2 linked regions of the Arabidopsis thaliana genome follow. The protein of the gene in region 1 interacts with the protein of each later gene in a pairwise test. Each region holds a gene or a part of one and is shown on either strand. Other genes may lie near its edges. The genes, in order: AT5G09995 and ABCG16.

What was found.
Region 2: the proteins of AT5G09995 (region 1) and ABCG16 interact in a protein complementation assay, tested with the Arabidopsis thaliana proteins (one large-scale study listed by BioGRID).

The regions. Positions count from the first base shown.
Region 1 is NC_003076.8:3,124,533-3,128,541, forward strand, and holds AT5G09995 (uncharacterized protein), read right to left. Parts: upstream 1,847-4,009; 5' UTR 1,771-1,846; coding exon 1,456-1,770; intron 1,356-1,455; coding exon 1,305-1,355; intron 1,211-1,304; coding exon 1,077-1,210; intron 1,002-1,076; coding exon 913-1,001; intron 838-912; coding exon 653-837; 3' UTR 545-652; downstream 1-544. Other genes in the region: PROPEP5 (elicitor peptide 5 precursor), read left to right, coding at 91-225, 319-444; FD4 (ferredoxin 4), read left to right, coding at 2,177-2,623; AT5G10010 (myosin-H heavy protein), read left to right, coding at 3,566-4,006.
Region 2 is NC_003074.8:20,415,379-20,420,613, forward strand, and holds ABCG16 (ABC-2 type transporter family protein), read right to left. Parts: upstream 3,533-5,235; 5' UTR 3,175-3,532; coding exon 964-3,174; 3' UTR 805-963; downstream 1-804. Other genes in the region: AT3G55080 (SET domain-containing protein), read right to left, coding at 1-7, 336-452; ABCG17 (ABC-2 type transporter family protein), read right to left, coding at 4,974-5,235.

The sequences.
Region 1 (4,009 bases):
AATCACAGTTTAAGCATATGATTGATCTTTTGGTGACAAAGAAAATTTGAGGAGAAAGTCACATATAGAGGAACTTAGAAGATAGCGAAGATGCAGCAAGAGAGAGATCACAAAAGAGATTGTTGCAAGCTCATGCCTCAAACTGTCAAGGCTTTCTTCAAGTGTCTGAGATTCAGACGTTCTTCTTCTTCTTCTTCAGACATGGTGAAAGCTAGAGCAAGAAATGTAAAAACTGATCATTCTGTCTCTCCTCTGTAAACTCAAGGATACTTTCTTTCTGCTAAGCTACTATTATCTTTTTTTTTTTGTGTGTTGCAGGAAGAGAAAGAAGAACCTTCATCTATCGAAACTTCAACTAGGAGTCTCAACGTAATGAGGAAAGGGATAAGGAAACAACCAGTTAGCTCGGGAAAACGAGGTGGAGTTAACGACTACGACATGTAACTAGAATCTTGATGTAGAATTGGATAATCTTGTTTGGTAGTTACTCTACAACATACTTTCTTTGCATCTCATGAATCATCATGATATATTGATATTAATATCATAATTTCAAATCAATCAAATTACACTCTTAAGCTAGAAAGACTCAAGCGGACTCTGAAAAAGGGTAAAGAGAAAAGTGGCATCTGATTGATCACCTTCTAGGCTTCTACTGCTTAGCACGCTTTGCAAGATAACTTGTAGTGATTTTAGAGAAACGAGTGATTGTGGAGAACAATTGCCATAAAGAGCGTCCCTTAACAACACCTTCTCTAAAGCTCCTCGCTTGTTTAGCCAACATTGGTTCTGTTTCATCTGTCTTGGTTTGACGCATCACCTCCTGCATTGAAGCTACTGATGAGGTAAAAATGGAGTTAACCATGAAAGTCCATAGTTCGAATAGAAGAGTTCAGAAGTGAAAGGTCAGACCTGGATTCATGTTTGTTAACCGTCTTAGTCTATCTTCAGCTACACGAATAGCCCGTGTCGAGCTTTTAACACCTTGAGTGATACCTTGGCTACACAAACACTGAAAGAGTTACAAAACAGATATGAAGAAATTGGTAATCATCATGGTGGGATGTGAGACAAACCCTAAATCACTGAGCTCCATAGTTAAGTCACTGATCTCCATTCCCGATAAACGAACAGCAGCCATTGTATCTGGTAGCTCTTCTCTAGTTACATCCAAAAGCTTTTCAAGAGACTCAGCTGCTTTCTTGAAAGCCTTTCTCAACATTCCAAAGTAAAACTCAAATCAACCTTCAAAATCCATCAAAGGGTTGAAGAAATCTGTAAAAGCAAAATGTTGGAGAACGAACCAGAAGAGTAGGAATCGCAGCAAAGAAGAGCCACGATGCTGAAATTGCTGTCTGCAACAGAACCCATGATGATGATTGTTTACAAAGTGACATAAAGTCCAGATCTTTATTGAGCAATTTGAATCAAAACCTAAATCCAAGAGAGGCTTACCACGCAAGCGACGACATTGAGCAAGACGAAGTGCTTCTGTGTGAATGTCCATTGAGAGAGTTGGAGAGGAGGCTGTCCCACGGACGATGTTAATTGGGAAGAGATCGATGGCTCCTGAGGATTCGAGTACAATGCAGAGGGAGTAGAAGATGCGATTGAGTCTGAACCCTTGGTCAATCGTGAAATCGGTGAAGCTAGCCGGAGAGTGACCCGTCGGCGAAAGGAGAGATTTTTATCGATGAATCCGTTATGGAGAATCGGATTCCAAGAGATTAGAGATTGGGGTGATTGCAATTTCGAAGGCGAGAATAACATTGTGAATGGTTTTAGCTCTATTCGTCAGAAACCATTGTTAAGCTTCGAGTCGACGATAACAATGGATTTCAGTTGTGTCAGCGAGAAAATTTGCGTCAAGTTTAGAAACAACAATATTTCACGAAAAGTCCTCTGTTTATGCGTTAACTATTGAAAATAACCCCATTACTATCATTTGAGTTAATTTGACCTTCTTTGCGTCATATGCAAAATCGGAACACCACCACATTGGTTTGGAGGTTTGTGAGCTACAAGCCTATAAACTACACGTAGCACCTCCCTATGCACGTGTCACATGAATGATTTTAAGGGTTTGGGCTGATGTTTGAGCTATAACTACATATATACATTTGGTTTGATTCGTTTTTCTTACATTATAGTTTCATCAAAAGCCAAAGCATAATTGATGGATCAAGTACTCTACTCCTCTTACATCATAAAAATCCCTGTAATATCACGAATATCACCATCACAAGCTCAACTTACGACCAGGCTCAATAACACGACTTATTTTGGCTTGTCATCGTCGAGAGGCAATTTTGGGAAGGTGTTTGCAAAAGAGTCTCGTAAAGTGAAACTGATTAGTCCGGAAGGTGAGGAGCAAGAGATAGAAGGAAACGAAGATTGTTGCATACTTGAGTCTGCGGAGAACGCGGGACTTGAACTGCCATACTCGTGTAGGTCAGGGACTTGTGGGACATGTTGTGGAAAGTTGGTGTCAGGGAAAGTGGATCAGTCACTAGGGTCCTTTCTTGAGGAAGAGCAGATTCAAAAAGGTTACATCCTCACGTGTATCGCACTTCCACTAGAAGATTGTGTTGTTTACACTCACAAACAATCCGATCTTATATGAGTTACACATGCCTGCCTTGAACTTTTGAAATCTCAGTATTAAAATATGTATTTCAGTATTTGATGTGTTTTGATGTATTTTTATGTATTGATATCATTTTACATACGTTGATTCAAAATATTTAAATCGGATTCCACTTACAAAATCAGACTAGTAATGTATATGTGCTTCGATCATCTTTGTTCAGTAGTTGAGGCTTTTATCCCCATCATGGGTCTGTAATTGGTATCAAATATACTATATAGGCCCATTAAGGATTCGTAAGATATGGGAAATAACGTTGGGCTTTATTTCGTCACCATGGGTTTAGTTGTTGTTGTTGAGTTGTCTTTTTCGCATCTGGACGGATATTGTCCGTATGAATTTCTTAGACTATAAAGATTAAATGTAATTTCAAATTATTATTTGATATACTTAATTCAATTTTATAAATTTAATATCTTCAAAAAAGTTTGTGTCCACAATATAACAAATGTTATCAAAGCAAAAAAAAAAAAAAAAACTTCTTCTAATATAACAAATTTCCCTAAATAGCTTGCAAATTATCTGTAAACATGATGAAAATATTAAACATGATGAAAAATATTAAATTATCATATTATTCAAAAAATAATTAATTAGCCAAAAGCTATATATGAATTTTGGGCCTTACAATAATATTTTCGCAAACGGCGCCTAAATAATTTGGGGGAAAAAATCAAAAACCCTATTTCCTTTTCATGAAGAGCGCTCGTTGAAATCACGCAATAAGTAGAACACATTTGGACAAAAAGAAAAGATAAAATAAAATAAAAAACAAAACCCCCAAATTTGTGTCTCCTCCGGAAAAAAAATTCGAAATTCCGGATCCACCGCCATCAATCCCTAGCTTTCTCTCTCTTTCTCTATCTTCGCCGGCGAAACCAGTAGGGTTGCTCAATTCGTTGGTAGAGTACTGTGGCAATGAAGAAAGGAGCGAAGAGAAAGGGTGTTTCGAAAGCAGGTCGCAAAGCTGCTGTTGCGGAGACTCAGAACGATGAGGTGATAGAGGAGACGACGAAGACGACGCAGGAGGAGAGTCAACAGCATGAGGAAGAAGTCGTCGACGAGGTGAAGGAGAATGGGGAAGAAGAGGAGGCTAAGGGAGATCAAGAGGAAGAAGAGGATGCGAAACCTGATTCCTTAGAGGAGGATGAGGAGAATCAGGAAGATGAGGTCAAAGCTGAGGAAGTAAAGGAAGAAGTTGAGAAGAAACCTGTTGCTCGTCGTGGTGGTAAACGAAAGAGGGCTACGAAGAAGGATACTGAGATTAAAGATGAGAAGAAACCTGTTCCGAAAGCTAAGAAACCGAGAGCGGCCAAAGTTAAGGAAGAGCCTGTCTACTTCGAGGAGAAGCGTAGTCTGGTA
Region 2 (5,235 bases), on another chromosome or scaffold:
ACGAAGCCTAGATATAAAATGGATAAGATGATCGTAAATCCTCTTTTGTGAGAGACATAAAAGTTCTGTACAACATCTTCTTACATCAATTAGCTCCCAAAATCAACAGTCTGTTTGGTTAACTATAGATAGAAGAAGCTAAAAGAACATAAAGGTTTCATCTTTGGTATCAATTGCTATCAGTAGAGGAGAAACATACATAACTTAGAAAAATTCTTGGAACCACACTCAGGTATGATAAAACTTTTCTAACACTTGAGATAATCAAGCTGTGAACAGTCCATCACATTGATTTCACAAATTTCACGAAAGTCTCAATCTTTCACAAATCAAACCTGAGTTTGGAGCTCTAACGTTAGTTTCCCGGCGAGACTGAAACGCTTGGCTAAAGAGCTAACATTGCGCCTTTGTTGAAACCCGAAAAGCTTCACTGTCGAAATGCAGAATAGCATCTCCAGCCAAACTGGATGGCGCGTGAGCAACCACCGCTCGTATTATGGACTCGTGTTTCGACTGCGGCTAGAGCAGAGCGGCCAGGACCAGACGATATTCTGATGCTGATTCGGTCCGGTTTGTTTCGGTTTTAAATTTCAGATAAATCGGTTTGTTTTTAATTGATTTTGTAGATAGCCTTCCAATTTTGACTTTTTGATACCTTACAAAGTGAAATGGCTTTGAGAGTTACTTGCCTCTAGCAACAGTGTCTGTGTCTCCTCATTTTTCTTCCACAATCTCAATGCCTCTATTTGAAATGTTGCATTAATTTTCTGAGTAAAAGCGATTCATAGGTGCTTTTTGTATTTCCAATTTCCTAAAGAATGATATTTTTTTTATTGATGGCAAAAGTAATACAAATGTTAAAAAGAATACAATTCAAATACACAATCAATCTACGAATTACAAGTAATGAAAAAGAATTACAATATATGTTTTTGGTTTTAGGTATCATCAGTAGTTTCAGTTTCACCTCCTCTTGTTTTTGCTCCCAAGCAACAAACACAAGTAAAACAAAATCCTAAATAGGAATCCGAAACCTACCGTGATAAGCAAGCAGTTCCATTTACTAAGCTGTGTCACTCCTTGCTGCTTCAGAACATCAGCACCCGTCGTTAAACACGTAGAGCTCGATATCCTCATACCTATCGACCGGCTCACAGAATCCAAAAGCCTCAGCTTCATCCCATACGTCAATTCTCCCAAAGGCGAGTTGTCGAAAAGCTGAACACCTCTCACAAAACATTCTGTAGGATCCGAGAACTCGTTCTGAAGAACCGCCTCGTATGGATACTTAACCAGAGAAAGATAATGAAACCAAATCCAATACTGAGGGATTCGATCTCTGTTGATGAAGAAGCCACTGAAAAGCAAGAAGTAAGCTAAAATAGCAACAACGATCGTGTAGCCTAACATCACATGTGGAACGACGCCGGATAAGAAAGTCACGAAGGAGCTTCCGGACCAGAAAGAGGCTAAGATGATTAAGCAGTAGAATAAAAAGCCCATTAGGCCTCCTTCAAGCCCAACAGCCCAAAACGTCGTCACTGCGAAAGCTAAAGAGAGGAAGATGAGCGAAGGGAAGGTAACAATGGCGTGAGAGAGAACGTAGGAGGATCTCCGGTAAGCGTTGTAAGCTGTTTCTCTCATGAAGATGTAACGTTCCTGGAGGAACACGGGAAGAGCATCGGCGCAAGTGTAGAACATTGTTGACATTGCGAATGCGAAGAACCCTAACCGCTCTTGAACTCCTTTTGGTGAATTATCCAATCGCCAGAATACGGTGGCTAAGATGAATCCGGTGACGATTACGGTGGCTAATCGCATTCCGAGTAGCTCCGGTTGTCGTCGGGAGTTGAGGATTGAGCGTCTGGTGAGAGTTTTGATTTCGATCCAGAACGGATTCGCGAATGCAGGGACGGCTAAGGTTCCGCCACCGTGGTTTATGACGGAGGAACCACCGCCGCCACCGGAGACTAGTTTTCCTCTGCTTATGCTGGCGGAAATCGCTTCTTTCAAGGTTAAATTTGGGTTTGGAGAAGCCGGCGGAGTTAGGGTTTGAGGATTGCTCTGTTTCTTCATCTCTTGCCATTTCTTGTTGAATTCAACTAATCCTCTTGTTCCTCCAGCTGATCCTTCGAGTTCTCTGATTAGATCGAGTGCAAACTCCGTTTGATTCTCGTTTTCCGGTATCGGATTACCGAACCCGGCGAAAAAGCTCGGTAGACTCGCCGGAGAACCACTAAAGACGGTGTGTCCACGTGACAAGAAGATAAGACGATCAAGTAAACTGAGAACTCTGTGACTTGGCTGATGTATTGACATTATAATGATACTGCCACTCTCTGCGATTCTCTTCAATACTTTAACCACCATGAAAGCACTTGTGGAATCTAAACCAGAAGTAGGTTCGTCGAGGAAGAGAACAATCGGGTCGTGGATGATATCGATTCCGATCGAAACTCGCCTTCTTTCTCCACCGGAGATTCCACGGTGTCCTTCGTCTCCAATGATTGTTTTAGCAGCGTTTCTTATCCCTAACTGGTCGATTAGGGCTTGAACTCGAAGCTTCTTCTTGGATTTAGGTAAGCTTCTTGGTAATCGAAACTCAGCTGCAAACATTAAGGTTTCTTCCACAGTAAGCATCGGGAAGAGAAGATCGTCTTGCATTACATAAGCTGAGATAACTTTCAGCATCCGAGATTGAAGAGCTTCTCCGTTAAGCGTTACCGTGCCCTTCAAGCTTCCTTTAGCGATCCGATTCGCTAAAGCGTCGATCAAAGTGGATTTACCTGACCCGCTAGCTCCAAGAACGGCAAGAATCTCTCCGTCACGAGTCTCACCGGAGATATTGTCTAGAAGAGTCTTGGTCTTGGAGAAAGATGTCCTCCTCCATGGAACCAGGTCGTGAAAGTCAAGTTTCCGGCGAACAGAGACGTTGTAAGTAAGGTTGTTGAAAGATAGAACGAAAGGAACAGGACGCATAAGATGATCATTATCTCCGTCAAGTGAAGAACCATCCCTGTCAAAGAATTCATGAACAGGAGTTTCGTCACCAACTTCAACCTTACGAACGTCGCTAACGTTCTTGAGAAGTTGGCCTAAAGTCAAAGATGAGCTAATAATCTCCATGGAATGAAACGGTGTTGCATTATCATCTTCTACTAGTATGCGAGACATTTAGAACAAAAGATGGTAAAGTGAGAAATGATGTGCTTACACTTGAAAATCAAAACACTCTTTGCATGATCAAAATGTTAGTCTTTGTTCTCTGTTTTGCTAGTATCTGTGTATAGGCCTTATATATATGAAGTAACGTGTGGAAGCGTGTGAACACGAAGGTTCTATGTGTTGAATGAGTTGCATCATCATGAGAAATCTGTTAGGTTTGTGTTGTTAACAATAATATTCTTAGCGTTTGGATGGAAAATGCGTTTTGGATTTCTCGTATTCAATTAGGGAGAGGTAATGGGATGACCAATAAATCTAGATTTTCCAAGGTGATAATACTAAAATACGTAGAAATGGCTGACACGTGGCGATTAGAATGGAGAATTAGGTGAAGGGTGTTGATCTAACCGAGGTATAGATAGTATATAGGATTGAGATGAGATATTTCTTGCGTTTCACATAGTGTTTGGTCAATTAATTAATGTTTTTAAAAGATTCTTCGAATGTTGGTAGCGATATAGTGATTGTTTGTATCGCAAGCAAATGTGTACCTAGATAAACTATTCACATTTTCTTTTGTTTTCGCGACCGAAGACGATTGCTTATGCTGCTAACTGCCTAAAAGTTGCAAATTGCAATAATTCCGGAACCCCAACTAATTCTACCAAATATAATATAAAAGTTATATTTGATAAAGTAGCTAGATTTGTATTTAGTTTGGGAATATAAACTCCTGTTTTTGCTATGAAAGACTACACACAATCTCCAAGTTCATTTTTTCTATTTCTTGATTATTTAGTTGGTAACGGTGGAACATTCTTTACCAAACTCAAATATTGTGTTTGGTCTTTGTTTCCTCTGTTTTATTCACAGTATACAGAAGCTGATAAAACATTCTTTTTGTTTTGTAAAGGGTGGAGTGGTGGTTTAAGAGAAATATAATAAAAATCGTCAAGTTTGTTGCTAAAATTAAACATGCATGCGAAAATTACACGAGAATCATAAAGATGGTGTCACATTTCAAATACTATTTGTTAAGAAAGTAAAAATAGTGATGTCTTTGATCCATCCAGGGAAAGAAGAAACAGATCAAAAGGTTAGGCAACTTCCTCTTAAGTAGTACTTGGTCAAACTTCTAGTGATGGACACAATGGTAACATGAAAGCAAAATTGACGTACTGGCTTAGCTTCTTGGATTTCCAATCCTAAACTTTGACTTCACTGTTACATCTTTTTGGTTGACATTTTGAAGTTTAGGTGACTAACTTCTACCTACTGTAGTCTTCCTTACCGCCATAAGAAAAGGGTCAAAGATTTATAATACCATCTAATAAAGCTTATAAGAAAGTTGGCTACTTTGAATTCTATTTTCGACCAACTGTTTAGTTGTATATACTTTTGTTTTTAAAAAGTGATGCAATTTGAATTTTGTCAAATACGTTATGTTTACACCGACCACGAAAGATGGCATATAGCTCACACGCACATTAAAACTACTAAATTACTTCACTGGTAGCTTGTGGTATCTTTATATTAGTTTGAACTTTAAACTATTGATGTAGTTCATATTGTTAAGTTAAAAACATTACCAATTGTGAATTAAACTAAAATCTTAGTCCTTTATAAAATTGTGAACCTAACATCATGTAAAATGTTAGATGTACGATTCTTTCTTTAGACAATATATGATAGCTATGAAAGAAAAAAATAATAATTATACAACATATATCATCAATATCTCAAATTCAAAAAGACAATTTTGCTTTCACAATAAAATTTCTGTTTCGGAAAAATTTACATTATGGCGTTCACGCCCTCTTATTCTTGCTTCCAAGCAACAACGAAAAATAAAACAAGATCCTAAAGAAGAATCCCCAAGCTAACGTTACCCACAAGCAACCCCATTTATCCAGCTGCTCAATTCCATGCTGCTTAAGCAAATCAGAGCCCGTCGTCAAACACGTTGATTCCGTTAACTCCATCCCCAAGTAACCGCTCATTGTCTCCAGAAGCTTAGCCTTTGTCGTTTCAGATACTCCTTCCATTATTGTATTATCAAACACTTGGTTT